Bombyx mori: one gene and its partner. The protein of the gene in region 1 interacts with the protein of each later gene in a biochemical or structural test. Links are inferred from orthologs where the notes say so. Each region holds a gene or a part of one and is shown in the gene's direction. Other genes may lie near its edges.

The links.
Region 2: the proteins of kinesin-like protein costa (region 1) and serine/threonine-protein kinase fused form a complex in vitro, tested with the Drosophila melanogaster proteins (4 studies listed by BioGRID, with this or other methods). The link is inferred for Bombyx mori from reciprocal best matches to the Drosophila melanogaster genes cos and fu.

The regions. Positions count from the first base shown.
Region 1 is NC_085118.1:7,782,953-7,800,286, reverse strand, and holds kinesin-like protein costa, read left to right. Parts: upstream 1-6,439; 5' UTR 6,440-6,615; coding exon 6,616-6,892; intron 6,893-6,981; coding exon 6,982-8,918; intron 8,919-9,364; coding exon 9,365-9,583; intron 9,584-10,723; coding exon 10,724-10,860; intron 10,861-12,092; coding exon 12,093-12,234; intron 12,235-13,523; coding exon 13,524-13,643; 3' UTR 13,644-13,901; downstream 13,902-17,334. Other genes in the region: RpL9 (ribosomal protein L9), read right to left, coding at 2,941-3,272, 4,940-5,180; T-cell activation inhibitor, mitochondrial, read right to left, coding at 16,455-16,541, 17,070-17,214. UniProt on the Drosophila melanogaster protein: Regulates cubitus interruptus (ci) processing by recruiting multiple kinases to promote its efficient phosphorylation.
Region 2 is NC_085116.1:10,499,601-10,517,179, reverse strand, and holds serine/threonine-protein kinase fused, read left to right. Parts: upstream 1-6,137; 5' UTR 6,138-6,324; coding exon 6,325-6,435; intron 6,436-6,801; coding exon 6,802-7,061; intron 7,062-7,545; coding exon 7,546-7,714; intron 7,715-8,648; coding exon 8,649-8,804; intron 8,805-8,927; coding exon 8,928-9,118; intron 9,119-9,329; coding exon 9,330-10,180; intron 10,181-10,288; coding exon 10,289-10,395; intron 10,396-11,056; exon of another isoform or gene 11,057-11,067; coding exon 11,068-11,208; intron 11,209-11,528; coding exon 11,529-11,623; intron 11,624-11,742; coding exon 11,743-11,876; intron 11,877-12,521; coding exon 12,522-12,874; 3' UTR 12,875-13,932; downstream 13,933-17,579. UniProt on the Drosophila melanogaster protein: Probable serine/threonine-protein kinase; maternally required for correct patterning in the posterior part of each embryonic metamere. May be involved in control of cell division during metamorphosis and ovarian development. May interact with costal-2.

The DNA.
Region 1 (17,334 bases):
CTTTCGCACTATGGGCCAAATTGTCATCGGTCTTGCGTAGTGGTGGGACACTAGACCTGCAATAATTTCCTTCTGCAGCTTTGGCGAGCCACCAAAAAGCACGGCTCCCGGAGAGATAGCACTTAAGTAGCTCTCCAATTCTGGAAACGTGCTCCGACTTCGATTCGGCAATATTTGTATTGTACGTCCGGGAAGCGACGTTATATTTCCGCCTTTCCTCTAAGACTTTCGGATCTCGAGGTCTCCTTGCATCGTTCCAGGCCGCGTATGCAAACGGCTAGAACGTGTGCAGCATCCCTACTGGGATTATTATACCAGGATTTACTCCGACTCTCAACGGGCACATCAGAGGAGAGAATAAACAATTCCATCCCCTGGACCCTGGAGCACCACGTCTTTAAGACGGTCCATACAGACTTCAGGATAACCAGAGGAAAAGCAGAACCCCCATGGGTAGGATGTATAAAATTCAGGCAATCCATCGCAATCTGCTGAGATAAACCGCCAAACTCTTCGATACCCGGTCGTTGTTCGACGATCAGGACGAGAGTGGTATGGCAGTGATCAGACGATCTTAGCGGAACGTCGACCGCCAAACTGTATTCGGCTGGATGGGTGGTCAGCAAAAAGTCCAACACAGAAGGCTTGTGCTCGTCAATATCGGGGACACGGGTGGTTCCCTCTTGTACATGCTCAAACAGAATTAAAGATAGATCTACACTCGCGAGCAAAAGTTTGGAATCACTTACTTGAAATTAGTTACGCGCGATCTCTTGTACTAAATTTTTTTTTAATAATCATAAAAATGACATCGTTTTAAAGGTTCAATTCTTAACTTTAAACTGATACTAAATTCATTAAAATCAAGCCAGTATTTAAGAAGCTATCCCGGATTAAGTGAAGGAATAACGTGTTTCAATAACGGAATAACGAAAAAGACGTGTTTCAATTGCTTGATACGTCGCGAGTTGCGACTTATTGACCCCTATAAAAGCACCTGTTATCGGATTTTCTTTATCAGTTGACTTTCACACGTTGACCGATACACATCTGCGCTAACTTTGATCCATTACCTTTTACGACAATGGAGACAACACCTACAGAAGCAGCACAAATCGTAGACCTATTGCAAGAAGGGCTCAGCCTGCGGGTTGACGCTCGTTGACTCCACATAAGCCAGTCCTGTGTTTCGAAAGCTTACAAGCGCTTTCAGGAGACTGGTGGCTTTATCCCGAGACCAAGATCTGGACAGCGCCGGTGCACATCGGAGAAGGATGACCGTTTTATCGTGTTAACCTCTCTCCGAAATCGGCATTTACATGGTGTCGACGTCCAACAGGAGCTCCGAGATATTCGTGGGGTAGCAGCCAGCGAGTGGACACTTTGTCGATGACTCAAGCTAGCGAATCTGACTCCAAAAAGGCCTCCCACAAGCACGAAACTCACGGTAGCTCACCGACAAGCTCTCCTTCAATTTGCTCGCACCCATCTTGATTGGGAGGTTGAGCAATAGAGGCAAGCCTTTTTCTCCGACGAGAGCAAGATGTGTTTGCACGGTAGCGACCGAAGAGGTCGGGTCTACAGGCGGCCTGGGGAGCGATTTTCGCAGTGCTGTTTCGCTGAAACAGTGGCTTATGGGGGCGCCATTGTATGTGGGCCGGTATTTCCTTCGATGGTAAAACCGAGCTTGTTTTCGTGCCTGGCGGGGGACGAGGAGGCGGTCTAACTTCGGACTGGTACATTTCCAATATTCTGCTGGAACATGTCTTTACCTATGCTGGATATATCGGTGATCACTTCCTCCTTATGCACGATAACGCTCGTTGTCACACTACCCGTGTAACAACTGTATACCTCGAAGAAGTCGGTATCGCCACATTGCACTGGCCATCACTCAGCCCTGACTTTAATCCCATTGAGCACGTGTGGAATGAACCGAAGAGGAAGTTTCGTTCCAGAACTCCTGCTCCTTCATGTCTGAATGAGCTGAAATGAGTCGTCTATTATCAAAGGTGGCAATCTGTGCATTTGGACAAAAAAAAATTATTGATATGTCAATACAGATTGATTTGAATATAATCGTCTCCTTCAAAGAATACGGTTCAAAACCTGCATTAAATAAAGGTTAATTACTTAACCTGTTATTTATCTAAGATGTCGTTCCGAAGAGTTTTGTGACTGCCAATGGAATACAAAGTCAATAATTCGTTTTTCTGATTTACCAATCATTGTCCAAAAGTCAGATTGCCGGCTTTGATAATAGTCGACTCAAATAGGCGTTGATTTACGAGTGGGAAGGTATCCCACAAGAATCAATTCAGAAGCTGATCATGTCTATGAAGAATCGTCTTCGAGCAGTTATTAGGGCGAGGGAAGGGAACACAAAGTACTGATACTTAATTTTAAGGCTAAATAATTTCTTTTACTTATTAATTTTTGTTGTTTTGTTCATTCATTATTTTTCCATATTTCCTTGTTTTCCTACCTCCTTCACTTAATCCGGGATAGCTCCTTAACTACTGGCCCGCTTTAAATGAATTTGGTATCAATTTAAAGTTGACAGCTGAACCTTTAAAATTATGTAATTTTTATGATAATTAAAAATTTATTTAGTAACCAAGATCGCGCGGAACCAATTTCAAGTAAGTGATTCCAAACTTATGCTCGCGTGTATAGTTGAAAAGACAGTTCCAAAGGCGAAATCACTAAATTCATCCAGCATTAGGTAAAACAGACTGGCAGAATCACTAACTGTTTTTGGCTATATATCAATGGGAAGATGGAACAAATCTATGTCAGGGATGTCAGTGATCAGGATGGGAAAAAGTTATCTGGAGTAGACATGCTATCTTCATATTCCTACTGTTTTTTAATTATTTTAAAGGTCTAAATTTAGTTAAAATAAATAAACAAATATATTATTATACTTATTTAATGTTTTTATATGTCATCTAGCACAACAGTTGTTTTCTCAGATACATAAAGACCATCCAAGAACTTTCTGATATCCTTATTCTTGACTGTAGTAGATTGCTGGATGAGAGCAGCAGAGCTAGAGACATCTTCCAAAGAGTTGCCTTCAATGATTAGTTCATCCTTTTGTTTTGGAGAGTTAACGACAGTCACACCAGGTGCCATCTTTACCCTTCTGATGTATTTCTCACCCAAGAAGTTACGTATCTCAATAATTGAATTACCCTCAGTGGTGACACAGTTAATGGGGAAGTGAGCATACACAGCACGCATCTTGTATTGGAAGCCTTTAGTTACTCCTGAAATAAAAAGCAAATCTAATCTTAGTATAAGGATAGAGTACATTACATTTGTGTTTATTTTACATTAGATTATACCCTAAACTATTATTTTGAATTTATTTAACACACTACAAACTACAAAGTGGGTGCCACCCAATTTTTCACTTAATGATCTATGGGCTCTGGTAACCACACTAGAAAAGGGCTAGCTATTAGATCATTCATCCATCTATGCAACATACAAAAAGTTTCAAAAAATTAATTTCATAATATTAATTTCATAATATTAAAAAATAAATATTTTGGCAAATGAATTTACAGTTTCCATGGTCACAGTTTTACACAAAACTTTTTAAAAATTAAATGTGGTTTGTGTTTCGTTTCCCCCTTTTTTTCCTACCTAATCTGATGGTCTATAGAAACCAAGTCAGCGTAGCCGGGCTAGTAGGTGAGCTCACGGGGCTCAAGCCTGACGATGTTGCTAACACAAACCCTAGCAAGAGCCATGCTTCGTAGAATCTACCACTGGATGGGAAACGCGACCCACTAAGAAGATCCGTGAGAAACTCAGTGGGCTGCGCCTGTGGGTTAATTTACTCGCCGAGCCCTTCTGTCACAAGCGACGGGTTCGACGAGAACGATGACCTGTGCTTGGGGTACTAAAAGCACCGTTAGTGGATCAGGAGGATTCGAGATGACGTCTTTTGGGCGACTGTTTGCCATTTAGTCTGCTGGATCGACTATGTAGTTACTGGAGGTCACGATGAAAGGGTTCTCATGTCGTGCCACTTTATAGAAATGGGAATTTCTCCAATGGTATAGTCTAAAATTGAAAAACTCAGGTAAAATTGGTTAAAATATTTATTAAACACCCAAGTTTAAAATAATTTTATGAAGTAAATTTTACTTATTTAAATTAAAAATGATTAGCTTTGTTTTTCTGGTGGCCATTGTAGGCAGACGAACATACAGCCTACCACATTGACAACAGCAATACCAGAGGCACAGAGAAGCCACTGCTTATCACAACTTGCTTTAGCTAAATTACCTTACAAAGTTGATTGTAATGTTTCTATATTTGAAATAACAAGCAAATAATAAAATTATACAACTGTGCATTTTATCCACACACTTTGTATTATATGCTAAGTCAGAGCATCATATTACATATATGGATATGTTTGAAACCATTAACATAAAAGATTTTTCACTTTTCCAAAACTCTAGACTTCAACCTTATAATTTGAACTTAATATAACATGCAATTTAATTCGCTAGAATCATTAATGACACTCAGCTTTACTCGTGATTTTGCAAGGTCTAAAATGGTTTCTGTATTTGTATGAAAATAAAAAAATAACAAAAATTAAAGAAAATGTTTAAAATAGTAAATTATTTTCAAAACAAAATCGCGGGGCTCTTGAGAAAGCGTATAACAGCATAGAAAAATTTTACTATCTACTTTTAAAAGTCCATGTAAAATTTTTGTTCACACAAAAATCCATTCAATTTGGAACTTGCAGTGATACACCTATTGTTTACATGTTACAATGTTTATTACCAACATTTTGTCAATTTAAACTAAGAATCACTACGATATTTTGTCTTGATTGTGTGCTCCAGTTTCTGATTCTTAGTCTATTATTAATCTACATTAATGATGTTCTAGTAGTAGTGTTACTTACCTTTAATCATGTTCTCTACATGTGAACAGACTGTCCTCACGGCGGCAAGCTCCTTTTTGGATCCGAACCATTTCTCAACCTTCAGGAGACGAGGGTTTACCATGCGAATGTCAACAGCCAAGTGTTTGAAGTTCCTTTTGAGAACTCCGCGGGGCCCTTTAACTGTCACCAGACGCGATTTCACATGGACCGTAAGCCCGTCTGGGATTTTGACTTTCTGATTTGCTACAATTTGCTTCATGTTTGGGCCTAAAAACAAGAGCAAGTATGAAACATAACCTCACAGATGTTTACCAAATTTTTTGACACTTTTTCTCAATTTATTACTAAAATATCAGTTATAACGCATTTCAGGTCGTTAAACATAATTTAAAAAATAATTGTGGCGAATTTTAATTATGTAGGATGCGAGATTTATTTAGATTTTTTTCGAAATAACACATATTCACCTACTTTGTTTGACACAAGAGCCGGAAAAAGATCGTTTAGACACGAAAAGATTGCCACTTGCCACTTGCCGAATACTAACTTATTGCCAGCTGTCAGTTGAACTCTGAAGTTGGTGATAAGATATTTTGTGAGTAATTTATTAATTGTCTAACTCGAAAACATTATGAAATTCAAGCAGTTCTAACCAATTAAATGATTACAAAATTTATAAAAAAATCTAAATTTCGTAATAATACGACTTTTAGTGATCGGTCACCGGTGATTTTGGTGATCGTCATGGTAGATTCCAATTACTGTTAGTGATTGGAATTGAATCTTATTATCTCAGACCATCAGCAATGCTTCGATATGAAAGAGGTTTTAAGAGGCTGGAAGAATCGGCAAAAAAAAATAGAACCGGACCGTCTATTGATTCTGCAATAATTACATTTTTAGTATTTTTTAGTTTCGTCACTTGTTCATTCTGATATCCACTTTAGTGAATACATCAAAAAATCTTTCTAGTATTTCTGGTTAAAAATCTAACGACGCACCTATTTTCGAAAATCAAGGCTAAATACAATTTATTGGGTACCCAAACATCGGCATTGTCGTTCACATTTATTAATTTACTCATAGACCTATATGGGTTTCATACTTTAATAAATTTACTCAATGATTTAAGGCAGTGGTCGACAACCTTGTCATCCAAAACAGCTAACTAGATAGATAACACACAATTGAAATTTATTAAAAGAGCATTTTTTAACACAATTATGCTTTGCTTTAGTAATCACGGATAATATTAGGGAAATGATAAAATGAAAATTAAATACCGAAACCTTTCGCGGAAGAACCCTAGCTGAGGGGACAAATAGGTTGCATGCGGCTCATGAGCAGCGGGCTGCCGGCCACTGGTGTAAGGGGTCTAATCTAATCTAAAGGAATGGGCTATAATTTTTTTTTGTAGAATCATTTTAAAATGAAAGAATTTTAAAATATTTGGCCTATAAGATTATAATCCAAGATCAATTTTAAAAGAAAAGAAATTTTGGTCAATGTCAAAAAGTACAGTTTGTCAATGTCATCATAAACTTGTAACTAATACAAATAAATGTATTTCGACATTTTCATTGCCTGTCTTTTTGGGATTTTTCTGCTAAAATATGGTTTTTAGACAGTAACGTATTCAGCTACGTAGTAAATACGAATGTACGGATTAGTATTATTATCAAACATCCTCAGTTATGGATATTCCAGTACAAATCGCCATTCGTTTGAAGCCCCCGAGCTTGGCAGATTCTACTCAATGCATATTCAGTAATCCTGTAACCCAAATTGTTATTACGGAAAGTGGACAGACGTTTCATGTGAATCGAGCTTTGCCTGTTGATTGTAGTCAGGCTCATCTGTTCAATTCGTTTATGATACCTCAAATAAACTGTTTCCTCGATGGCTGTGATACATCTGTTGTTGTTTTTGGTCAGAGTCAGACTGGCAAAACTTACACGCTCTTTGGTCCAGGTAATAAGCCTATAATGATAGCCTCGCACTGGTTTGACAGGAACATTAAGTAGTTTTTTTTGTTTGTTAAAAAATTGATTTTATTTCAGGCTTCGAGTGCATTCACAGTGAATGTGATCAAGGAATCGTTCCAAGATTTTTAACTGAAATATTTCACAAACTGAATCAAATGTCTGAGAGAGAATTTATACTTCACATAACATGGATGCAAGTTGTCACCAATAATATATTTGATGTTCTTGGAGTCGGTTTAGTTAGGTGTTGTAATGTGGAGGAAGCTTTCCAGTATTTACAGCTAGGTTGGAGACAGCAATGCCAGGGGAATTACCATACAGTGTTTACTGTGACTGTTGAACAAAAGTGGGTTGGAACTAATGGCACCTTGAATCATAGAATGTCCACTGCTAGTTTTTGTGAACTTGCAGCATATCCTGATCCTGGTCTTTATACTTTAGAAAATATATTGAAAGAACTATTAGCTGGAAATCCTTCTAAACAGGTTAATTATGATCAGTGCATATTGACAGCAATGCTGCGTGATTCATTTGGAGGCAGAGCATTCACATGGGTCATTGGATGTATTAGTACAGAACCTGAAGACTACCAGGACACATTAAAGATACTGAACCTCTGCCTTTGCTGTAGAGGAATCAAAAACTTTGTAACAGTGAATTTATTTGCTGATAATAATACACCAGTTTACTCTGAGAAGGCAATCAATAGTGCTGATAACAATTTCAATTTACAATTTGCAACTTCACAATGGATTAAGTTGGTTTCGAACGCTGAAGGTCTTTTCAATAAGATCCTTCAATCAAAATCACTTTCAGAAACTGATATCAATCAAGTTAGCGAATGGCTATTTTTGAAAGCTGAATGTGATGAATGTTTAAATGCAGATGGAACTTTAGATAACAAAGATGTAACAATAAAACAAGGCTTACCAAGAATAGCAGAAGATACAGAGCCTAGTGAACTAAGTGAATCTGATGTAGATTCTGGTTCTGAGGAAGATACTCATTCTGACACAGTATTTCAAGATAAAGTCGAAAAATTTATGGAATATTTTAGGGAAAAGAATGATGAACTCTTTGCAGATAGATGTGAAGAATACTTGAATCATATTGACTCTGATGATATCACAATTTCAGAAACAAGTGGGTCTCAATCATTACCTGTCATGACATCACATTCCAATTCTGGACGTAGAAGAACTATACAACCTGGTGAAAGCTTGTCAGGGGCAGAGCTGGAGTTGTTAAGGAAAGTTGCAGCAAAAGCAATCTCACCAGAAACTCAAAAGATACTAATAGAATCTCATAAAAAAGACATGGATCCGGAACCAAAATTAATTGAAAGGGAGTTACTCAAAATGATAGATTCTCCAAAGACTGAAGAGATTTGTAAAAAGTATAAGATAACAAAAGAAAAATATACACAAAAACAGATATTAACTAGAAAACTATCTAAAGAAATAAGTAGTAGTCAAACACAGCTAAAAGAATTGATAAACCTCTGTATTGCAAAAGAGAGGCTTATAGATGATCTCACTAAAGCTATGTCTCAGAATACTCAGAACAAATCTTATGATAAAAATTCAGACTCTAATTTTGTTGAACAAGATACTGTGAAGGAAATCAAGAGACATGAAATTAATTTAAAGACTTATAAAAAACAAATTGATCAAATAAAAAGACAAATCAAGAAAGATGAAAAACGTAAAAATACCTTAGATGTAGAACTTGTAAAAGATAAATTAAAACTGGATGATTTGTCAGACACTTCAATTGAAGTCAAAGATAAGAAAGTTAATTCACTGAAACATTTCACTAACAGAATCACGCAATTAGACAGTATACTAAAGGAGAAAACTAATGATTTAGCCAGTTCAGAGCACTCCAAAGAGAAAGAAGTGATATTAAGAAAAGAAATTAAAAACTTGAGAAAAACCAGAGAATGTTTACACGATCAAAGATGTAGTTTAGGTCATAAGAGAAAAATTTACAAGTCCCTGTCTGATTCTGAAGTGAGTGACCATTTTCGTAATACACAATATTTATTGGCTTTCATTAATTATTGTTTATATTTTTAATTTTTGTTCATGATTGACTTCCATGGTGAAGAAATAACATCGTTTAATAAAAATCAAACCAGCAAAATTATAATTTGCGTAATTACTGGTGGTAGGACCTCTTGTGAGTCCGCGCGGCTAGGTACCACCACCCGCCTATTTCTGCCGCGAAGCAGTAATGCGTTTCGGTTTGAATGGTGGGGCAGCCGTTATAACTATACTTGAGACCTTAGAACTTATATCTCAAGGTGGGTGGCGCATTTACGCTGTAGATGTCTATGAGCTCCAGTAACCACTTAACACCAGGTGGGCTGTGAGCTCGTCCACCCATCATAGCAATGAAAAAAAAAAATTATAATTATTTTCTTTTTGTATAAAATGTTGTGGTTGATGTTGTATAGGAACGCAAATTACTCGAATGTGAAGAAGCTATAGAAGCAATAGACACAGCAATTGAGTACAAGAACAATTTAATATGTGGCAAATCACCATCTGCATCTTTGTCTGATTCATTCGACAACAAGGACTCAAGAAGTAGAGGAGAACAGATGTTGATGGCTAGACTGGATAAACTTTCACATGATGAAATTAAGACATTGTTATATAGATATTTTCAAAAGGTACAGCATTTTCTTTTTTTTTCTATCTATTTTAGTAACCTCGAGGGATTATTCTAGATTCACCGAGCTAGTAGGTGAGCTCACAGGGCTCAAGCCGAGAGTGTTGCTAACAATGGCGATAGCAAGAGCAGTGCTTTGCAGAATCTACCACCGGATCGGAAATGCGACCCACTGAGAAGATCCGGCGAGAAACTCAGTGGGCTGTGTCTATGGCTTAATTTACTCGTCGAACCCTTTGTCTCAAGCGACGGGTTTGGCGAGGACGGTGACCGGTGCTTGAGGTACCTAAAAACACCGTTAATGGATCTGGAGGATCCGTAATGACGTGTTTAGGGCGACGTCGACTGTTTACCATTCGGTCCACCGGATCGGGTATGTAATTACTGGCGGCCACGACAAGAGGGTTTTCATGTCGTGCCGCCTTCTCAAAGTGGTGCAATGATGCCGACTGTAAAGCTGAACTCAGTCAGTAAGTACTGACTAAGTCAAGCTCCAGGTCATAATTGAAATCCAGGTTCTTTAGGAGCCATGTTGCTTCGACGGCTATCCTGCCAAAACGGAATTGAATGACTTGAAAGGGTTTCAACTTGGTGCGAGCCGCGTAAGCGAATAATACACTTGCATAGGTCATGACGGGGCGTATAGGTACAAGTTTTGTAGTGTCACCTTATTACGAAGATTTTGTCATGTTATACTCGATATAAAGAAATAATGTAGAAGCAATTTTCTCCATTGCGTTCCTACTTTCATTCCTAATTTCATGAGTCCTCTGGAACACTTCGTTGTGCTTTTGATCACCTCAATAAATTATGCCAGTGGAATCTAATCTTCATAATAAAGCTAATAATTATGTTTTATGCATGATAAAGCTTTGTTTTATTTGAAATATGTATCCAAAAAGATAGTATCTCGAGTCACAATAAAACTATTTTGTAAGGGAATTTGATGGATTCGAATTTAAACTTCAATGGGTTTTTTTTTCTTAATCTTCTGTTTTATTATCTTGATCGTTTTGATTCTCGTTAGAGATTTATATGTGTAATAATAAATGTAATAATAGTTAATTTGTTTCTCTTATTTGGTATGTTTTCTGGCAGATCGCTATTTGATACGTTTAATTGAACTTCAATGGTTATTAAGGTAGTGGATTTACGTGGCGCATGTGCTGCCTTAGAAGCCGGTGTAGCGGCTGCCAGTGAAGAGGCTACTATTTGGCGAGCCCGAGCTGCTGCGGCTTGGAGACACGCGCAACGGGTTCGATCACATGCTCACACGAGGTAATGATTTGCACAACTTAGGTTATTTTTATTAGCTACACATTTATTTACGACTAGCGACCCGCCCTCGCTTCGCTACGGAAACATTAAATTTTATTATTGATAGTTGAGTCCCGCGACGTTACCCGCGCTTATTGTCGTACCGCGGGTGACGCCGCGGGGCGAAGCTAGTCTAAAAAAAGTAGCCTAAGTTACTCCTTATATCATCAGCTACCTGTCAGTGAAAGTCCCGTCAAAATTGGTCCAGCCGTTCCAGAGATTGCAGAACATTATTTACGGATTACGGAACAAACAAAAATTGTAAAAAATGTTATTTTGGTGTCTATATATATTCATATGCATGTAGTAAAAAGCGGTTATTTCAATATTACAAACAGACACTCCAATTTTATTTATATGTATAGATTTTAATTACCAGAAAATTCACGTTCTTTAGTAGTTTTGAAAATTGATATGTAATTTAGTTATAGATAAATGAATTTCTTTTTTACAAAAGAATCACGATCAGAGTCAGATAGAGACATTAAAACATGAATGTGTCAGTTGCGTTGCAATAACGACAAACCTGCCCTTAGGACTTAGAAACCACGTTCCTTCGAGACAGAAGTGGGCCAAAGGATTTCATTATTTTCTTTTTTTTGGGTTCATGACGCGACCTTCCTCCATTCCTTACTGTAAGAAATAGGGCGAAATAAGATATAGATGTAATTGAAAAATGATGTAGACACATTACTTACAATTATTAGCACCTAGTAGTACTTAGAGAAGGTCAGTGTAGTAAATATAACCAGATCTTCAGATTAATCATGTAAAGTCGTTAATTATATCAGAAGAGCAGGACGTTATTCAGATTTTCTTAAAGAGATACCCTAAGAATTATAACTAATCTGAATATGCAAAACTAAAAATATTCGTACATTAAAATTAAAATTCTAATCCTAAAATGAATGTTTATGGTAAGAAATATGTAGATATTGATTTTGAACATGCTTTTATTAGTGTGATATACGTATATATGTAAAGGAATATTGAATGCATTTTTCTAATCACCATTTTTATTTATAACACTTATAGAGATTTATTTTCTTCTTTTTAGATAAGCTAGCTACAAAAGCGTTTTTATTTATAGTTTTAAACAATTATTTTTTCAACACTTGCCTGAATATTTACTATATAAGTATTTTTGTGACTTATGCGTCGGTTATGAATGCTTATGTTAAATTGTCCTCTAGACATTTCCAATCGTTTCATCGATGTTTGGACGGAGGAAACCCAGAGAGGGCCCTGTCTCTCGGCATGACAACAGATTCGGAAACATCGGATGATGCCATGCGCCTGGTCGACCGAATGAAACAGCTTGCAAGATGCAATCCGGTATGTATAGAACAGCACCAAATTCTGGGTTTCCAAACCTTTTTCACTCATGAACCATTCTTCAGTTTATTTTATTAGCTAAAACTAAAATGCCACTGGAGCGATGAAGCGGAGGAGATGCTAATGACGTCGACTATGAACGCGTCAATCAGGTCAAAGTCCCAATTAAAGTAATCTTAAAATCTTCCAACCGAAACTCATAACTCTTAGTGGTGGTAGGACCTCTTGTGAGTCCGCACGGGTAGGTAGCACCGCCCTGCCTATTTCTGCCGTGAAACAGTAATGCGTTTCGGTTTGAAGGGTGGGACAGCCGTTGTAACAATACTGAGACCTTAGAACTTATATCTCAAGGTGAGTAGCGCATTTACGTTGTAGATGTCTATGGGCTCCAGTAACCACTTAACACTAGGTGGACTGCGAGCTCGTCCACCCAGCCAAGCAATTAAAAAAAAAAAATTGTTGCAGTTTACTTTGGGAGCGAACAGTGCTGCTCGGTTTTATAATGTCATCTGTCTTTTTTTTTTGCCAGCGTATCCCATACAAGGTGTAGAAATTAGAAATGTTTGTTGTTCAATGCATTGTTAATTATATCGAGCGGACGAGTAATTTCAATAAAACACTGGCCCCAACTAGGATTATCGGTACTACGGGAACTGACAACCTATGTACTCTTATATATGTACAAATAAAGATATCAACCAATCAGACTGAAAGCAAACAAACCTATTCCTTCCAGAAATCTTTGCCCAATGTGGGAATCAAACCCACGTCTATTTGCCTTGGTACCACCCTGTCAGTCAAAACCTAACTATAAACTTAAACCTAACTAACGTAAAATTAAACTTTTAACTAAATTAACTTAAATTTAAATCAGAAGGTTGCGTGTTCATATCACGTCGGGGTCACCACTGTGGTTTGTCATTTTTCTCCGTATTCGCGGGAAATTTTCACTCGGAATAATATATCAAAGTTAAACACACTATTTCAATAATACTTCTAATTTTCAGATGTATGTACATACAATATTAAAATATAAACAAAAATGAGTAAACGACGCTAGACGATACTAAATTAACTAAAATCTCGATTTTATATTTAAGTTAAATCGGCGCACGAATCTTGTTGTGATGACGTCACGGGACAGCTGCGCGTTCGGGAATTCCGATCGCGCCCGATGATACCCGAGTGCGACTCGATATTTCAATGTTCCACGCTACAAACTTAAAATTTAAAAAAAACATGAAATAATTGTGAAAAAAATAATAATACATAAATACATTTGTTTTCAGCCTCCCATCATACCTAGTCAGAACCTGCGTCAGTTGATGCCCGCAACAAATTTACCAGTAGCAAAAGTCACGAAAGAGAAGAACAAACTTGTTATTGTACAGCAAAGCAAGAAACACTGACATTTAATTATGTTTTTATTTGTATTTAATGTTACTTTATTTTGTATTTTCATGTATATTCTTATTTTAATTTTAAAACTATTGATGCACAAAGAATCAATGCAATTATAAAGTAATTATGTACTTTCATTTTTATGCCTCATGTAAATATATTTATGCATATTGTAAGACTGTTTAATAAAATTAACATTAACAATTTTGATGTTTTCGAGGTTAATAAGGCGTATTGTAATTCAAAATAAATTCGATTAGGAAAGACGTTTTGTTGGATTTTTTTTCTTCCCATACCGATAATAAGTATTTTTTAACTTACAGTTATTACCAGCAACACGCGTAAGGTTAGTAAACATTTTTTTCCAATAATGTCTACATTCTATCTGATTCAACTAATCTATATATTAATACGTGAAGCAAAAACTTTGTATCCCTTTTTACGAAAATTGCACGGACGGAGGAGTATGAAATTTTCCACACTTCTAGAGAATATAGAGAAGAAGTGCACAATGCTAATATTTTTTTAAAATAATGCCTAAAAGATACATTACATCAGTAAAAAAACGTTACACACACTACATATAGTAATCGGCAAACTTCTTGAGCAAATGACCTTGACTGCGCAGAACCGAATTTTAGGTCACTTTGGTGGTGAGGGTGAGGCGGGCGGGTGACGGCAGGGGAAATCGTATCGAGCGCGTTATTGGTAGATCAGTCGAACCTTTCGTCCCGCACCGCGCCTTCATTCCGCTTGCTCCCAAAAGTACGCTTGCGTACAGTGGAAAGTCTATCGTTATTAATCGTTAAGTTATTTGTTATAATTGCTTGTGGACTTTGTTGCCATTGCTATTTGTTGAGTGTTTGTTGATTTTTTATAAAACATACACTATGCCGTGACAAACTGGTGTAGTACTTAAAAGAAAGGGTAGAAAATTTGTGTACGACGTATATTGCTTCATTATAAAACAGGGGAAGAATGATATGGAAAAATTAAAACAGACTTCGGAAGCAACAAAAACATCAGTGAGTGTTAGGTGCATTATTAACGAAGCTAAAGGCTCTGGCTTGCTCGCCGTGTTTCGGACTCCGGGTAAGAAAAGATCAGGGAAGAAGAAAGTTACCGGAATGGATAGTTTCGTTCAGTCTGTAATAAAAAGATGTAATCATAATAACTACATAACAAGCAGCGAAACTCCGTACCGTAGAAAGGCTTGGAAAAATTTAAAGAAGATATAAATTTTAATGGCTCGGAATGAAGCTTACGACGAATTATGAAAGAGCTAGGCTTCAGATGGAAAAAAAGAACAGAAAATAATCGGAAGCTGGTAAATGAAAAAAGTAACATTCGATTACTACGAATCGAATATCTTCAAAAAATAATTAATTATAGACAAAAAAGAAGACCGAATCGACCGAGTTGTAAACTACGCCGATGAGCCCTATGTCGACTCATCACGATGATAGCGACTCGGGTGATGAAAACAGTGATGATGATGATGGTCAAGATTATGATAACGAAAAAAAAATTACAAATACCAGCTTCGCTTTAACTGAACCAAGACCTGGCAACAGCTCTAGTTTTGACTTAATAGAAGGAATATCTATTTTACCCCAAGATTAAATTATTACAATTATTAACCTATATGTTTTGTTGATGTTCTAATAAATATATAAATAAATACATATGTTGATTTTAATAATTTAATAGCATTATGACGCAGAGTAAGTAATGTTTTTGCACGTGAGTGTACCATGCGCAAACTTACCCCCACTACGTCAACAAATGCTCAAGAAGTTTGCCGGTTATTATACCATATATTTGACGCACACACGCATGCATACTATTTATTGTCAAACTTTTGTTCTTGACGTCTGTTGTCAAATTGAGAATAGATTAAATATTGTTTGTCTTTGTTAATATTTTTTACATGTTGCGTTCCACTAAGCACCCACAACGATCGAAATGCTCCTTTAGTCGTTCCACATAACGACCGCGGTCGTTGTGGTCGCGGCGAAAACGTCACTTATGACGTCATAACTAACGCTCACGCGAAGCTCCCGACGACCTATCTAAAAAGGTGGGTCGAAGTGATCGTTGAGAAAATTAGCGGCCTTTTCAAAACTCAAAGCATCAAAAATGGCGACCGTTAAGCTTACCTACGTTATTTCATGCGGAAAAAGATACTATCTGGAGCATTATTGCGACCTCTTACCAAATATCCAAGTGCCACCGCAAAAGACATTTTAATTACATTTGAAAGTAAATTAATTAAATACACCACTAGTATTAAATATAAAAAATTAAATTATATTTTTTTTCAATATAAATCGATTTAAACAATAACTAAGTTTATTTTCAAGGCTTACAGATTATAACCTAACCTCTTAAATCTTTTTGTTAACTCACTTTTTGTATTATTTACCTCCACGCTCAAAACGCTCTTTAATCCATTCCACTTGAGTTTACGACAGTAACGTTCACAAGCAAGTGGAACGGGAAAAATTGCGGTCGTGAGTATGTTCGTTGTGAACGCTTAGTGGAACGCACCCATAGTGTAGTCTTGGCGAAATTTGTGATTATAGAAGTATAAAATACAATCATAATAGTGTACAAACTTACAACTCCAATTAATTATAGTCAAATTTCGACTACTGCGGGACCTCTAGTTATATTTAAACTATAAGTACTTATTTGTACGCAAGTTCATGTCTAAAATAACAGAGAATATGTTTTCTTAAAAATAAATTTAATTCATTTAAACTACGTACATTGAATTGATATCATTATATTGATGTAATAATTATGTATATATTCGATTATTTAAAATTCCACGGTATACATAAAATGCCTTCAGTTAACACAGAGTAATAATGTGTTACGTACAATATGTTACCTCGTAGATTCTGAAACAAAAATGTTGTTAAAACTTAAACTGAAATACTACGAAATATGGGATGCAAGAAATTAATCAACAAAAATACGAATAAATTTTTCAACTTATATATTAAAACGCGTCTATGTTTGGCCGTCAACCCGTTGTAAAGTGCTCCTCTCATGAAGCGAACGAATATTCGTTGGAAATTAAATAAGGACAACAGCTGTTGATTAGTTATGACCCGAGTAACATAAATGCTATTTACTTGTTTATGTTGTGTTTAACAGCAATTTTCATCTAACGAATTACAGTGAATTATTATATAGTGCGCTTATTGCTACCAGCGGTTATGTGTTGCGAGCTCGCGCGGGTAGACTGGACCGCCGTCTTTACTATTCATTACCGCTCCGCGAGAGGGTCATGCAATCCGGTCGGTTCATTGAGAGCCGTTGTACAATAAAATATAGATTTTGGTTATGTCTGAAGGCGCCGTATGCGTTTTCTATCCTATGATTCATCTAGCGTAAGTTAATGTACAAAAAAACTTGAAACATACCGCATTAAGTTTATCCGTTCTAGTCAATAGACGTTGACAACACGAAATCATTAGTCCTGGAGTTATACTATCGTCCTTGTGTAGTTCTAGTAGTCCAAATCTTTCTTTTACCTCTTTGTGTAATGCTTTCTCGACGTGTTTATTTCTGCAAACAAAAAATATATATATTTAGGTATCTATAATTTTTTTCTTAACGTTGCTTTCTGCTTGTTCGAGAAAATAAATATATATTCTACTAGCGACCTGCCCTCGCTTCGCTTCGGAA
Region 2 (17,579 bases), on another chromosome or scaffold:
TTAACTTATCAGCACAGTGATGGAAGTATTAGAGCTCATGGTGGTTTTTGTTGTAGCGATTCATCTCGACGACCATTTAATTAATATGTAGGTGGAATCCGCATATCTGAAAGACCAACTTAGATTCCAAGAGGGTGCTTAGACAGTGGGCAGTTGTCGAACACTTCTCGCAAGAAACTTTTAATAAAGTTGGGATGATTTTAATAATCTAGTTGGATACCTCTAATTTAACCTCTGACTTTCTACATTTCTTTTGCATCCTGAAGGTACCTATGTCATGAATAAGCGAACGAGGTAAGTGGTATCATCTCCTTTGTCATCAGATATTCGACAGGACTAGTTTTGCACCAATTAATTGAACTGTTTAATTGCTGCAAACAGGTCAACGAGTCCACAGCCCAACTAAAAATTACCGGAGCCGAGGGATATTATAGCGTGGCGCCATTCGTCCGGGATGTGTACGCTGACGAAATATGGGACTCAGTATATCCAGACTGCTTGTCTAGCCATGGATGGTTTGACATTAGAGGGCCAAATACGAATAACGTACGAAAACTTTAAAACAAAAAAAGGATCAGCCTGTATTGTTATTAATACAGCTTTTATTTCAGTACCTTCGAGATTTAAGCTCTTATCTTTTTTTTCCTACCAAAGCTGATAGCCTTGAGAGGCTATTTCAGCGTAACTTTAGCTAGTAGGTGAGCTCACGGGGCTCAAACCGGAGTGATGCTAACACTGATCTTAGCAAGAGCAGTGCTTGCAGAATCTACCACTGGATCGGAAACGCGACCCACTGAGAAGATCCGGCGAGAAGCTCATTGGGCCATAAGCTCTTAGCTCTTGAAACTTTTTATAGTAGATGCATAAGTATTAAGTAGTTCATTCGCAAAGCTACTCTTGAGTTGTTAGGTCTCAATTGGAGGCGCTCGGGTAGCTGTTAGCAAATCCCGCCCTTCCTGGCTGAGCCCTTGCTCGCCCACCTACCCTGGTAAAACTAGAAAGGCCTACGGGCCACCAGCACTCTTAAACATAAAAAAGTGTGTTGTGTAATAAGGGCACAGATATTGTGGGGGGTAGGTACCGTCATTTACTTACATATTTCTGCCGCATCTAAACATAACCGTGACTGTGAACCCGTGTGTAATCTAACACAACAAAATGTGGACCTGGGATACACTTAGTCTGGCCATAAATATTGTTACAATTAAAAATAAACTAAATATTACATTTGAATTTGGAATCTATCATTTTAAATGATTGCTCATTGAGTTTTCTCATTTTGGCGCCAATACATTGTACAATATTTTGCGATATTAAAATGGAGTGGGGTGATAAAGAGAACCGAATCGCTGTGATTGCATTACACAAAGTAGGTATGGAGCCAAATGCAATTTTTAAAACTCTCCATACGCTTGGTATTAGTAAAATATTTGTGTACCAGGCTATTAATAGGTGCAATGAGACCTCCTCTGTTTGTGACAGAAAAAGATCTGGCCGTCAACGTAGTGTTCGTACGAAAAAGGTGGTCAAAGCAGTAAGGGAAAGAATTCGAAGAAATCCTGTCCGAAAGCAAAAGATTTTATCTCGGGAGATGAAGATAGCACCTAGAATCATGTCGCGTATTTTAAAAGATGACTTAGGACTTGCAGCCTATAAGAGACGTACTGGTGATTTCTTAACTGATAATTTAAAACAGAATAGGGTGGTAAAATCGGAACAACTACTGAAGCGGTACGCAAAGGGAGGTCATAGAAAATTTTTGTTTACGATGAGAAAATTTTTACAATTGAGCAACATTTTAACAAACAAAGTGACCGTATTTATGCTCAAAGCTCTAAGGAAGCTTCCCAATTAGTCGACAGAGTGCAACGTGGGCACTATCCGACTTCAGTGATGGTTTGGTGTGGTATTAGCTATGAAGGAGTGGCTGAGCCATACTTTTGTGAAAAAGGTATCAAAACATCGGCACAAGTGTATCAAGATATAATTCTTGAGAAGGTAGTGAAGTCCCTTAACAACCCCATGTTCAATAATCAAGAATGGTCCTTCCAGGAAGACTCGGCGCCAGGTCATAAAGCTCGGTCTACGCAGTCTTGGTTGGAAACGAACGTTTCAGACTTCATCAGAGCTGAAGACTGGCCGACGTCTAGTCCCGATCTTAATCCGCTGGATTATGATTTATGGTCAGTTTTAGAGAGTACGGCTTGCTCTAAGCGCCATGATAATTTGGAGTCCCTAAAACAATCCGTACAATTGGCAGTGAACATTTTTCCCATGAAAAGAGTGCGTGCTTCTATTGATAACTGGCCTCAACGTTTAAAGGACTGTATTGCAGCCAATGGAGACCACTTCGAATAAGCTTTTTATACTTTAAATTGTTTTATATTTATGTATTAAACTAACACACTGTAAAAGTAATAAATGTTATTTGCAATAGATTTTTTTTCCTTTGTCTCAGTATTTATGGCAAGACTAGGTAGTTTCAATACTAAGCAGTACGTCTTATCTCTTAGGTCATGAATTTATCCGCTTTTTGCAGTGCCTAATATTTTCATTTCGTGATGCAGTGTTACTGACGGTCGGCGATGACGTAAATTTCTATGAAAATGTTATTTTTCCTGTATGCAGTAAGTTTATGGCCGCATGTGTTGATGTACGAGGAGGGATCAAAAAGTAATGAGAACAACATACTCGTTGGTAAGAAAACTAAAATAAAAATAGTGGCAGGCATAGCTCAGATACATCTTTGTAATATTAATTTAAAAAAAAAACTTCGATTCTCTTTTGTTTTTTTCTGAATGTAGTCATTTGTTTGTTTCGTGTCGGAACGTGTTCTCGAAAACGGAGAAAAATGAAGAACGAGCCGTTATTAAATATCTCTGTTTAAAAAAGTTAACGTCGCGAGAGATTCATTGCGATTTGGAGGCAATATTAGGAGAGTCTGCTCCACCGTATTCCACTGTCGCAGGGTGGGCCTTCTCAATTTCGAGTACGGAGAATGAGTACGGAAGTCGAACATCGTTGCGGCCGTCCATCGACGTCAGTCACCCAAGAGAATATTGCGAAAGTCGAGAAAATTATATTGAGCGATAGAAGAGTTACCATCCGATACTTAATTCAAGAAACGGGTATTTCATATGGAAGTATTCAATTCATATTGAAACAATCTTTGAATATGAGAAAAGTCTCCGCAAGTTGGGTGCCGAGAATGCTAACCGACAGTCAGAAACAAAGTCGACTTGACATTTCGAAGACATTGTTGGACAAGTTTCAAGAAGATTCTGAATTTTTTTGTCTCGTTTCGTAACAATGGATGAAACATGGGTCCATCATTTTGATCCCGAGACAAAACAGCAATCTTCGCAATGGAAACGGCCATCATCACCGACTCCGAAGAAGTTTCGTGCCGTGGCATCGGCTGGCAAGGCTATGGCCTCAATATTTTGGGACTCAGAAGGGATATTGTTTATTGATTTTTTTGAAAGGGATTGAAGCTTTGGAAAAGCGCTGGACTCGCTATGTAGAGAGACTCGGAGACTATGTAGAAACATAAATTATTAAGTTATCAACAGTCATTATATTCTATCTCATTCTCACTACTTTTTGATACCCCCTAGTATATAAGTCGTTCCTTTGCGAAACTATGTTAAGTTGCAGATATAGTTTGTTTTACAATGATTGCCAACATTATTACCACTTTAAGATCGCTTTAGAATTCGTTAGCACTGCAGTAATAATCAGTGTGGGTATTGGAAAGTCAGGCATTGAATGATAATTACGATTAACGACTTACATCAATTTATATCAATAAATTTAACAAGTATTATTAATAAAAAAAAATACAACCAAAGACTCGTCAGCAGACAGAAGTGGTCGTGGACTAAAATATATGACGCCCGGTGCATTCATATCGAGCGATGCCATTGTGCCGGTGATCGAATCCCGTAAGCAGGTATAAATTTTTCTAATAAAATACGTAGAGCTACTTAACAGAGGCTCATGAATAACTTTTTTTATTGCTTACATGGGTGGACGAGCTCACAGCCTACCTGGTGTTGAGTGGTTACTGGAGCCCATAGACATTTATAACGTAAATACGCCACCCACCTTGAGTGTTGAGTGGTTACTGGAGCCCAAAGACATTTATAACGTAAATACGCCACCCACCTTGAGATATAAGTTCTAAGACTTCTAAGGTCTCAGTATAGTTACAACGGCTGTCCCACTCTACAGGCCGAAACGCATTACTGCTTCACGGCACAAATAGACGTGGTGGTGGTACCTACCTGTGCGGACTCACATGAGGTCCTACTTCCAGTAAAAATCGATCGACTCCAGTGACCACTCAACACCAGGTAGACCGTGAGCTCGTCTACCCATCTTAACAATAAAAAATACTTATTTAGACAGCTTTACTATTCAAAAGAGAGTGAGTATTTTATTTTGTTAGTTTTTGCGGGCTTGATTCTTATTACACGATGCTATTACTTCACTGTGGAAGTCAATCGTGAACATTTGTTAAGTACGTATTTCATTAGCAAAACTGGTACCTGGGGGTTTCGAACACCGTTGCATCGCTCGACACGAATGCAGCGGACTTCTTACCCTTTGGCCACAACAAATTCAAAATTACATTATACAACAAAATTGAGAATTCAACTTGTGTATGAAGGTGCCGGGGGGCATTCAGGTCAAAATGTCCGTGAACTGTGGTAACCGTCCAAATCCAGGCTGTATACGAGCTTCTCCACCCATCTAATGTAATAAAAAACAATTTCAGATAAATCAATAACAATTTCACTTCGCTATGAAGCTATTCTTTTCAAAAAAGGTTGACCTTTGAATTAATCCGAATCGAAGTATGAAGAATTTATTGAAAAAAATATTCGAATAAGGTTTTATGAAATATCTTCAAACAATGTAAAGAAAATAAATTTGTAGCTAACCTAATGTAACCAATGAATCATTTGGTCTTATCTATGGAGCCACTCACTGAGAATATCCGGGGAAAACTCAGGCGATTATGTCTGTGGATTAAGTTGCATGTCGAACACTTCGCCGCCCACTGAGTTTCTTGTTGGATATTCTTAGTGGGTCCGATTCAGTGGTAGATTCTGCGAAGCACTGCCCTTGCTAGGGCTGATTTTAGCAAATTCTCTCAGGTTGAGCCTGTGTGCTCATCTAACCGTAGTTGTAATAATTCCCGGCGAATAGGTAGGAGAAAAAAATATGATAAGAAGGCTACCTAATAGGTCGGGTTGCTTTTTCAAAGAAACCGCGTCTATGATCGCTTTTGGTCTAGAGACCTCGCCACTTTCCTAAGCCGGCTATTGTAAATTATTTTGTGGTCGTTTTTTGTAACAACAAACAAGGAATTTCAATTTTCCACGCTCGAATCGATTCTTTGGTTTTAGATTGAAAATAATAGTTTAAAATTACTAAAAAAAATAAGCTTTTATAAAAATTAAACTAAAAATAGAAAATAAATTTTAATAAATTTGAATTAAAAATAGTGTAAGAAAAAAATGATCTTATTGTAAAAAAAGTGTGGGTGGTTTTCAGGATATGTATTATCAAAATATTTATAACTGTTATAACCATGCACCCCACGGTTTCTTTTTACAATAAATTCATTTATTCTAAATTGTATATCTGTTATGGTGTATATATGGTGCTAATATAGATCCATTAATTTTGAAACTTCCTGTTTTTATTTATTGTTTTGCATTTCTCTGCTCCAGTCTTTTAACGTACATGATATTATGTATTGTCTATTTAGTGTTTCTTCAGGTTTAAATGTGTAATAACGTTGGTTTATTAACTGTTTATTATCTGTGAAAGTGCACAAATATGGGAAAATGAAACAAAGTCGCTGGACGTAACTTCTCGGGATCCTTCAAAAAGTCCACTGAAAAAATCAGTAAATGACCACCATTTTACTGAGATTATATTTCATCGCATATAATCTCATCATATTTCATTTAATTTTATCCCAGTTGATTAATGTCTCAAATTAATCATCTTCATTTCATTTCATGTCATGTTTCACTTCATTTTATTTCATAATGTCATATTTCATAAAATAAAATAAATTTATAAAAGATTAGGCTGTATGGTATGATACTTTTGCCTTTCTATTTGGAAAAATAAAATTACTACATTACGAAGAGAACAAAATATTTTATGTTTATTTACAATACATATGTACGACGACTGGAGCAGAGAAATGCAAATCAATAAATAAAAACAGGAAGTTTCAAAATTAATGGATCTATATTAGCACCATATATACACCATAATAGATATACAACTTTACATTTTAAAATGAATAGCTACGTTATAAATTCATTCGTCGGCGAAGGCTCATTTGGACGTGTTTTTAAAGCAAAACACAAAGATACCGATGCTGTAGTAGCCTTGAAAGTGATAAGGAAGGTATTTATTAAGTTTTTATGACTTTAAATACTTGGTGCCTTCATGATTTCCTAATTTTTTTCTATAAATGTATACCATCAATACAAATAAATTACAAAAAAAACTTGCGAGTGCTTATTAAATCTTCATTTCCACTATTTCCAAAATAATATATTTAATAAGATCATTAATAAAGTGTGATAAAATAATAATTGTACACACAGAGAATGTTATTAACCAGGTTTTCTTACTAGTAAAATTTTAAATGGTCTTATTCAGTTATCATGATCCCAATGTCTTCGCTGTCATAGATATCACGGTCAAACCTCTCGTCATCCACATTAGTTAATAAACAAATATTCTTACACAATAATTCAACATTTTCAGAAAGGTCGCTCGTCTAAAGACTTAAAATGTTTGAAGCAAGAATGCGACATACAGAGGCAATTGAATCATCCAAACATAATTCGGATGATAGACAGTTTCGACACTGATACAGAATTGGTAGTTGTCACAGAATATGCTGAGAAAGAACTACATGGAATATTGGCTAAGGAGGGTTGTCTTAATGAAGAACAAGTGAAGAAGATTACTTGGGACCTTGTGTCTGCACTGTACTACTTACATTCTCATAGAGTTTTACATAGGTAACTTGTTTGTTTCATATTTTATATCAAATAATAATACTAAACACACATTATTAATATTATATCATTATTGATGTAAATAATAATTATATCTAAACATTTTTTGGACCTTGGCAGGGGGCATAGCTAGGTGAAATCAGTATAATTTATTCATTTTTTCTCTATAGCCTGGCTTATAATAGAGACATTCATCTTATATCTCAATGTGGACAGTTATATTGATTGGTTCTGGATACTGAATCTATTAAGATTTATTTAAATAAAAAGATTAATTTGTAAAAAAATTGAGAGTAGGATAGAAAGTTATTATTGTTCTTATAGTTAATATTTAATTTGATCTGAGCTTTTAACGTTGAAATTGGATATTGAAGTAATTCTCATTGCATAAAATTGAGAAAGAAAATAATCATAGAAATATCTATGATTCATTTATTATGATTTTATATTATTCCTGAACATTTATCATACAAAATAACAATTTTAGAGACCTCAAGCCACAAAATGTGCTATTGGATAGTACAGGACGTGCCAAACTCTGTGACTTTGGTCTTGCAAGAATAATGACAAATGCAACACACATTTTAACATCCATCAAAGGCACACCATTGTACATGGCCCCCGAGTTAATTGATGAGAAGCCATATGATCATCAGGTAATTATATTAAAATAGCATTATATAAACAAAGAGTTATACTGTAATTTTCTGTGGAGATGACATGTTTTTACCTATGTCTTCCGTCTGACCTAACTATTCTTAGTAAAACTATAATTAAAAAAAAAAAACTGGTCAATCTGTTGCTTTGTTTTGATGTGAAAGGGCATACAAATACACAATCTAATAACAAACACACTTTCACATTTATAATATTTGTATAGTGTGGAAGTATGGATACTTAGTATGCATGCTGTTCCATCAATGCAGCTATGCTATTATATTATATAGTAATACTTTCAATTTTCAAAATTACATTAATTATTCTTAGTAAAACATTATTTATAACAATAATTGACATATTTTAGAGTACTTTTATTTTAATTTGTCCTTAGCCTAATTAATATAAATCAATAATTTCAGAGATTTTCCTGTACGTAATTAAAAAAAAAAAAACATGAATTTATGCTAATGATAGTTTATTCAACAATATTTTTATGTATGCATATATGGTAGGGTTTATATATTAATTAATCACTTTGCTATAAACAAAAGTGATTATATCGTTAAAACTTCATTTTATACAGATATTTCTGTCACTTTTTATGCACAAATATGCATCAAAACCTCATGGAATATTGTTATTAATCCTAAAGAGTTGCAAACATTTTTGTACATTACAGGGCTCCTTGTGGAAAATTTCAGCACCTATAACAACAGGAGTTAAAAAAATTTGCTATCACAATACTGACTAAATATCAATATAATAATTATCCAAATTGTTTTTTTTTAAGTATAATAATATGGGTGAATAAGCCACTTTGTGCTATGTGGTTACCTGAGCCCATAGATATCTCAATGTGTTTGAGCACACCTATTTTGAGACATTATATTGAGATCTCAATTGTATTTTTATTTTGTGTATTTTTTTCAGGCAGACTTATGGTCACTTGGCTGTATTGTATATGAGCTAATTGCTGGGCAACCACCTTTCTGTACAATGTCTATATGGCAACTTGTCCGCATGATTAGACACAAACCTGTACAGTGGCCTAGTTTCATCAGCACTAATGCTCGGACCTTCCTACAGGTTTGTTTGCTTTTGAGCTCTCACTTCAAGCTTTTAAAACTGCACAAATAATTTAACATTTTACGTTTAATTAAGTTATACTATTTGTACCATTAGTTTAATAGTATTAAAATATTTATTTAGGGCTTATTGCATAAAGATCCTTTGAAAAGAATGAGCTGGCCAGAAATATTGGAACATCCATTTGTAGCTGGTCACATTCTTATTCTACCAGAAGACGTCCAGAGTGAATCACCATTTACCAAGCCTTTAACACACAGTCAGCAAGAAGCCAAGCAATTGCAGCGGGAAAAAATATGCATTGGGAATGCAAGGTAATAAAAATTACTTACAGATATATCAGATTTGTAATTAATATCAGAGTTAAAGTTAAAAGAACTTCAACACAGAATAATATTTAAAAAATTAATTTTAAATACATTTACAAAATTGATTTTCAAATAAAAGTAATCACAACAAAATATAGTATATTTAGAATGTATTATAGTTAAACTAATTTTGTAAAAGACTTTCCTTTGTCATTAGAACAAAAAAAATGGAAGGTGATCCACTAAGACTTGTAACCAAAGAGCATGATTTAAGGAATGTAAAAGTCATGCAAGCTTTGGAATGTTTGCCTATGTCTGATGACGACAGTGTCAGGGCCACTAGCGCATTCAGTGTTCGAGACAGCCTCAAAACTGATGATGAAGAGCAAGCATATCCCATTTCAGTAGCCAATGCAAAGCTTTTACGACATGAATATAATGTAATGAACAACAGTAATCTCCTTGTTTGTAATCTAGAAAACAATATGGCACAGCTAATGGCTTGTAATAAAAAACAGATAGAATTAAATACAAAGAAAATGGAGAAAATAGATGAAGAAAAACATATAACAGAAAAATCTGAAGAATCTAAAGCGGATGCAGTCAAATGTGTTGAGGATGAACAGGTTACTGAATTTAAACAGAAATCTAAAACAACAGATACTGCCTCACACAGCTTAGAGAATCCTAAAAGTTCAACAAAATGCAGCAGTGATATTAGTTGCAAGTCTGGATTAAGCAAAAGTGTACCACCTTCATATAAGCAGAAAATATTACAGTTCTCTAGGGATAAACTAAGGTTTGGTAGTGGCGGGAATAAACTGACAAGAAGCATTAAAAGATCATTTAGTATTCGAAGTTGGGATAAAAAAAGTGATAGTCAGAGAAGAATCAGTGAACCAACTGTGGAAATACCAAGTATTATTAGTGCTGAAGAAGAAAAACATTCAAAGGAAGAAAAGGATGAGGATGTTGAGAAGTGTGAGGTAATTGAAGATATACCGAATGATCGAGATGTTGCAGATAATGATAGAATTCTCAAAGTCGAAGAGAATAACAAACCAGTTGGTAAATATATTAAATTTAAAAGAATGCTTAAATTTGATGTGTTAAAGTAATATCCATAAATTTTAATACCAAAGTGTACATTTTTTATAATGGTACTTAAAATTTCAGAGCAGGAACCATCAAGCATTGAACTAGAAGAATGGGAGGCTTTCTTGAATTCAAATATCAGTGAAGTTATGGACGGCGATGTCGAATCTTTGACTCAGTTGAATATGGTATATTTATCAAATAATATTGTGGATTGTGTTGGATTCTTCATAGTTTTAATGATTTAATGAATTTCAATATTTTTTTCCTTTTTGTTCTTTACGATTGAAGGATTACTGGTGGCCCGGAGGCCTTTCCAGTTTTACCAGGACAGGTGGGAGAAGACAAAGGGAATTTTTAATTATATCAACCATATTATGCAATGCATATTGCCGCAATTCAGTGGCTGACAGAATGCACAACCAAAGCCGATGAAATAAGAAAATATTTGTTTCCTCTAAACATAATGCATGGTGCCGTAGACATAATTAAAAGTGCTTTTACATTATTTCTCATGTTTGGAATACTTCACAGTTTTCGTAGTCACCGACGACTATATCATATTTTATATATAAATGAAATAAAAATTAATCATAAATAAATTATTTGAAACATCGATAATATTATGATATGAACCGTAAATTTTTTTTAATTGCTTTTGGATTTACGAGCTCACGGTCCACCTGGTGTTAAGTGGCCCATGGACATCTACAACGTAAATGCCGCCACTCACCTTGCGACATGAGGTGTAAGGTCTCCGTTTTAACAGTACAACGGCTGCCTCGCCCTTCGAACTTCGCATTACTGCTTCACGGCAGAAATAGGCATAGTTTGTATTAAGTTCCGTTACCTGTTTGCAGGTGAGTATGGTGGTTGGTGTGGTGGGCAATGCAGCGCGCGGTGCGGGGGGCGGCCGGGTCTGCGGGGCTGTGGCTGCGCTACTGGCGCTGCCCGCTCTGGTGCACACCCTGCCGAGACACACGCTACTCAATATACAAGATGTTAGTATTTTTTGTATTCTATAATAAATAAATATGAAAATGCTAGGAATTAAACAAAAATAACAATTTTGTTTTTCCTTTGATGTGTCCCCCTTTTGTTTGTTTTATGTTTATTTCATTCAAAAGTTTAGGTCTTTTATTTATCGATTGAGGCACTACGAAGTCTGCCGGGTCAGCTAGTACCAAATAAAACTCACCTTTAATTACAAAGATAAATGTAGAGTACCTACTACGCGAAATGTCTCTTAAATTAAATAGCCTTACACTCCACGATATAATAAATGAAATCGTTTTTCAAATGAGCGACTTTCATTCACCAGGTATATTTGGAGGCGAAAGTGCCTTATAATTTCGTAGCAGCTATAAACACATTAATGGAGAACAGTGAGGACAATGACGACGGAGCAGAGGATAGGTAAATATTACCATTTTGAACTTGTAAAAGGTTTGCTTAAAATCTGCTTAAACTAGATTTGCCATTCCTAACAAGTACCGCAATTTTCGCATTTAAAATTGTATTTTTTTTATTCGCAGATTACAAGGTGTTAGTCGTATGGTTGAAGTGTGTGCGTGGCTGTGCGTTCGTTCCTGCAGAGGAGTGAGACAGTTTGCCACTGCCCTAAGTGCCTACAACGCGTATCCGGTGTTCACTAAACTGCTTAAGCTTGGTAAGAGCGCCATTCTAATAACATTAATAATAATATTTTTATTGACCGCGACTTGGATGTTAGTACAAATTGAGAACTACGTTAGAATATTTAGAGCTATAATTGCACTGCAGCGATTCACGTAGCTGCAGTCCAGACGGCAATCGTGTTTAGGATGCGATGAAAACCACCCCGCCCATTGTACAATTATACCTGCTTGTTGACTGTTTTTCAATGTTAAATATGTTTTGATGTGCAATAAAGTACACTTTTCTCTCTCTCTCTCTCTTTATCTCACACACGCGCGCGCGCAGGCACGCACGCACTTACTCACTCACTCACTCACTCACTCACTCACTCACTCACTCACTCACTCACTCACTCACGCACACACGCACTGGATTGGACAACAATTATTCCAATGTTTTCATCTGAAACCCAAATTTTAAAGCCTAAAAATTTTTTAATATTAATTCCAAAACTAAATTCCCATACTGGAAAAGGAATAGAGAACCCTCTCTCAATAATCACTAAATCACCGCCCATCAAACGATTTTTTTATCTAAATCTTACATTTTATTTTATGAATATAAGTTAAAGTGAGAGTTTAAAAATACGTTCTCATTAAAATAAGTAAAGCGTATAATTCTTAATATTTCGTTACAGACACGAGAAATCCCAGGATAGTCCTGAACATAGTCGGTCTCCTGATCACCATACTGCAGGACCTACCGGAACTAGCTGACGTTGTCGAAAGAATACTATTCGAGGACAAGAGTTTTAATTTCATAAATCTACTCGAACAGCCAAACGACGCACTGAGAATGAGAGTTTGTATACTGATAAGTCTACTTTGCACCTTCTCGTGTACCGCTTTCTCTGCAGCAATGGAAACGAAATGGAGTAAGAAGGAGAGCGATAGTTTGGAAGCGCTCCACGGTCATTGTAACGTTACTCTGAACAGGGCCGCAAGACTGGCCACTAAGGAGCTCAGTAATATGCCTTTTTATTCTAATTAATCGAGGAAAGATTGAAATTTTATTGGAAAATTTCATGGTAAATTACGTAAAACGAAACGTATTTCGAACACAATATTAATATATTATGCTATTGGATGGAACGATGTAGGAATAATTTGAGATAATCGACTTATCTTTGTTTGCTACATAGACGAGAGATCCTATCTAGTATTTAGCTGATACCAGTGGCTATATTATTGTTGGATTGTTTACTCTTTGGAGGGCGAAATAGACTATTTATACAATATATTTAAGATATACAATATACTTCGGTATCACTTGGCGACGATAAATTTGTGATTTCTTAGAGGTCCGGTAACAACATATCATCAGGTGCGCTGTCTACTCTTTCATCCATCCATAAATAGAAAAGTTAAAACTGTGCTTATTATAGCTAAAAAAGATCAAATAAGCAGATTATTAAACTGTAAACTTGTAAATAGAAATAAATAAACGTATGAAATAAATTTTCAATAAGCCCATATATATTGACAAGTACTTATCGGATTAAAAGACGTAATATATTTTTTTTATTAAAAATCTTAATACTCACTGCCATTTTAAATAAAGACTGATGTTTAATTCCATTTACATTTTGTGAGCAATAAGGAATTGCAAATATTTACATTCTTAATGTTTCTGATTATATATTTAATCATTCATGATTATGATTAACTCCAAATATTTTCCTTTTTCTATAACCCGTCTAAAAAAAATAGCCTGAACGCGATTCGACTTCGTGATGTCATATAGACCCAAAATACACGACAAAATAACAGAAGATCATACACATCGATTTTATCATAAATTGTCTTGATGATTTGAAATCTGACATAGTCGTCGCATTCAGGCCACGATTCCAAAGAAATATTCCGCTGTAATCCGTTGTAATCAATTCTACTAAAATAAGATTAAAATGATAAACGAAAATAAAATTTATAAATGAACAGATTTTTTACACCCTGTATATTTATTACTAAAATGAAATCGCATCTAATTGTAATCAGAAAATATAAGTAAAGATATCAACTATAATACATCGAATATTAAATTTAAAACTTGTTTTTTTTTTCAACCCAAATTATTATTTTTTTGTAGAAAGACAGCTGATCTCACGGCACATCTTCAGATATGAAGTCGATATATTCATTGTACTATATTATAATAAGGACTGTCCTGCACGTTCAAACAGCAACGTAATGAATGGTTCATAGCAGAAATGGTACGAATATTCTCTCCTAACCATACAAGTTTACAATGTACAGCACAGGACAATGTGCATCAGAAAAAAATTTTTTTTGATTGCTTAGTTGGGTGGACGAGCTCAGAGCCCACCTGGTGTTAAGTGGTTACTGGAGCCCATATACAACTACAACGAAAATGCGCCACCCACCTTGAGATATAAGTTCTAAGGTCTCAGTATAGTTACAACGGCCGCTCCACCCTTCAAACCGAAACGCATTACTGCTTCACGGCAGAAATAGGCAGGGCGTTCCCAGGACTCCCAAGAGGTACTACCACCAGTAAAAAAATCACTGACTTGCTTTCTACCTATTGCTTAAAAAACGATACGCTCTTAATGGGATTTTGAAATTAGCGATTCTGGAATTAGATTTTGCAAGTTGAGATAGTTGTATACTTCCAAATGATTTCTATAGCAACAACGAGAACCCTAAATAATTCAGCGCCTGTCTTTATGTTGCAGCAATGTTACTCGGAGATAAATTATCTTCTATATATTATTATATAAAAATTAATTGCTGTTCGTTAATCTCGCTAAAACTCGACAACGGCTGGACTGATTTGGCTAATTTTGGTCTTGAATTATTTGTGGAAGTCCAGAGAAGGTTTAAAAGGTAGATAAATATGAAAATGCTGGGAATTAAATAAAAATAACAATTTTGTTTTTCCTTTGATGTGTCACCCGTCGGACGGATTTTGTTTGTTTTAAGTCAATTTTATACAATAGTTTAGGTCTTTTATTTATCGATTAAGGCACTACGAAGTCTGCCGGGTCAACTAGTAATCAATAGATATAATGAAACTGGAACTAGGTGTGTTTGTACACTGAAGAAAATAATGAAAACAGAAGGAGGGTAACTAATGAAGAGTAATATCACATATATACCAGCGATTTTTGTAATAATTTTCTGTTTGTTTGTTGGTTTTTGTACGTGCCCTTCTCTAGAACTATTAAACGGATTTTTATGTACTTTTCACAGAGAGATATGTTTTAATTTGGAGTAGAATATCGCCTTGATTTAATCAAAATTCGATGTTGCTACAAAAGTGAGATACATTTAAAGATTTTTAGAATCTAATCTTACAACAGCTTTTTATTGCCTTAATAAATAGGTAGAATGTACTGGTGTTTGATCACCATTGACGATGGACATCAGTGTGCTTAGTGCGTGTTTCTTAACGTTCTCGATAGCGTAAAAGTTAACCCAATTTTGTATGCAGTTGGAACAGCGCCCCTAACGGCAAAGGAAGGCAAACGATCCCATTCCATACAAATATGAGCTAACTTTTACGCTATCGAGAACGTTATAAAATCGCACTAATCGTACAGAATGACAGAGGTACTAACTGGTACTACTAAGTTTTGACTTACCGTTTTTAGATATTTCGTATCAAATAATATTATTTTGTTCGAATGTAACTTTATCTACGACGTTTTCGTGGTCAAGCAGCAGTGAAACATTTTTAATGAAATTTGGAAACATGTATTCAGAGTAATAGTTTGAATAATGGGGAAAAAGCAACTCTTTATCTCGAGTAAGTGCATCGTTCTTCATTTTTTCTGAATTACAAATTCGACGCGGGAGAAACCACGGGACGCGTCTAGTATTTTATAAAATCTTAATATAGCTTATTATGGCTATATGGAATACATTTATTGATACCAAGTTAACTGTCAATGATAGTAATCCCTTTTTAATCAATTTAAAAAGAAGGAATATGTTTTTATTTAGTTTTATTATGTTTATAAAACGAAATTACTGCTGGATGTATTTATTGAGTTTGCTTTTTTTTATTGCTTAGATGGGTGGACGAGCTGACGGCCCACCTGATGTTAAGTGGTTATCGGAGCCCATAGACATGTACAACGTAAATGCCGCCGCCCACCTTGAGATATGAGTTCTAAGGTCTCAGTATAGTTACAACGGCTGTCCCACCCTTCAACCGAAGCGCATTACTGCTTTACGGCAGAAATAGGCAGGGTGGTGGTACCTACCCGTGCGGAATCACAAGAGGTCCTACCACCAGTTATTACGCAAATTATAATTTTGCGGGTTTGATTTTTATTACACGATGTTATTCTTTCACCGTGGAAGTCAATCGTTTGTTAAGTACGTATTTTGAGTTAGAAAAAATTAGTACCCGCCAGCGGGATTCGAACACCGGTGCATCGCAAGATACGAATGCACCGAACGTCTTATCCTTTAAGCCACGACGGCTTTTGTACATGCTGTTTTATAGATGCCTCAGTGTGGTCCCAAGTAACAATTTTCTAAAACGGTAAGAGGTAAACTTTGATAATTTTGAAATGCGTATAAAAAGGAACTCGGAGCATTTTTGTCTAAATGTACTAAATTTTCACATCCGTGCCCACTGGCTCTCTATTACTTTGTACGTACACGAAAATGTCTGGCGCCGGCGGCATAGCACTCGAGTTGTATGAACGTAAATCAACTCATCGAAATAACAAGGGATATTTCCTGATAAGAATTGGAAACGTCAATGGTATCTATCTGTTTCGACTGTGATGCACCGCATGAAGATGAACTTATGTTTATTTGTTTAGATCAGCCTTTCTCAAAGTGGGCGATAACGCCCCCTTGTGGGCGCTGCGGGCCTAAAGGGGGGCGGTATGAAACCCAAAAAAAAATGAGAGCGTTGGGTAGAGGCTTGGGAGGCGATTTGTAATTTCAACTAGGACTCTTAGACACCGAGTGAGCTCTCGCTATAGTGGTTATTAAGTAGGTGAAAAAAAGGGGGCGCTAAAAAATAACTTATCTCAACGTGGGCAGAAGACAAAATAAGTTTGAGAATCCCTGGTTTAGATCATGATCGGTCTTTAAAGTAAATTACATAAGGCGGGTTATCGGCCAGCCTCGAGTCGGTCACAGCGTGCATTCACCGAACATGCGTTTGAATTTGTTAATACGCATTCATAACAACAAACCAATAAAACTAATCATAAATATCAACAGTAAAATGAATTGTTCAACATTTAACATGGATTTCACTTGTTTTTCTGTGAAAACAAATGCTGCCGATCAGATAAACTTTTATCAAGAGCAAATATTATACATAGTATTTTCCTCAATTTAATTTTTACGGAGCCGCCTGTGAACACGATATCTAAAAATATGATTTCCAATGACAATAAAAACGGGATTATGCCGAAAAAGTTGAAGTCGTCGTGGCCTAAAGGATAAGACGTCCGGTGCATTCGTATCTTGCGATCGCGTCCGCCACTTCTCCGATCGTGCCTGCTCCGAGGGGGGCGTGTTGTTGGCTGTGTCGATTGATATCGCCAACGCCTTCAACACGATTGTTGAATCGCTTCGGTTTCACCGCGTCCCCACTAGTCTCCGCACCCTGATAGAGGACTACCTCTCAGGGCGGAATGTGGTCTTCCCCGACGGAAAGCGGTGTCTTGCGGGGTCTCACAGGGGTCGGTACTGGGACCACTCCT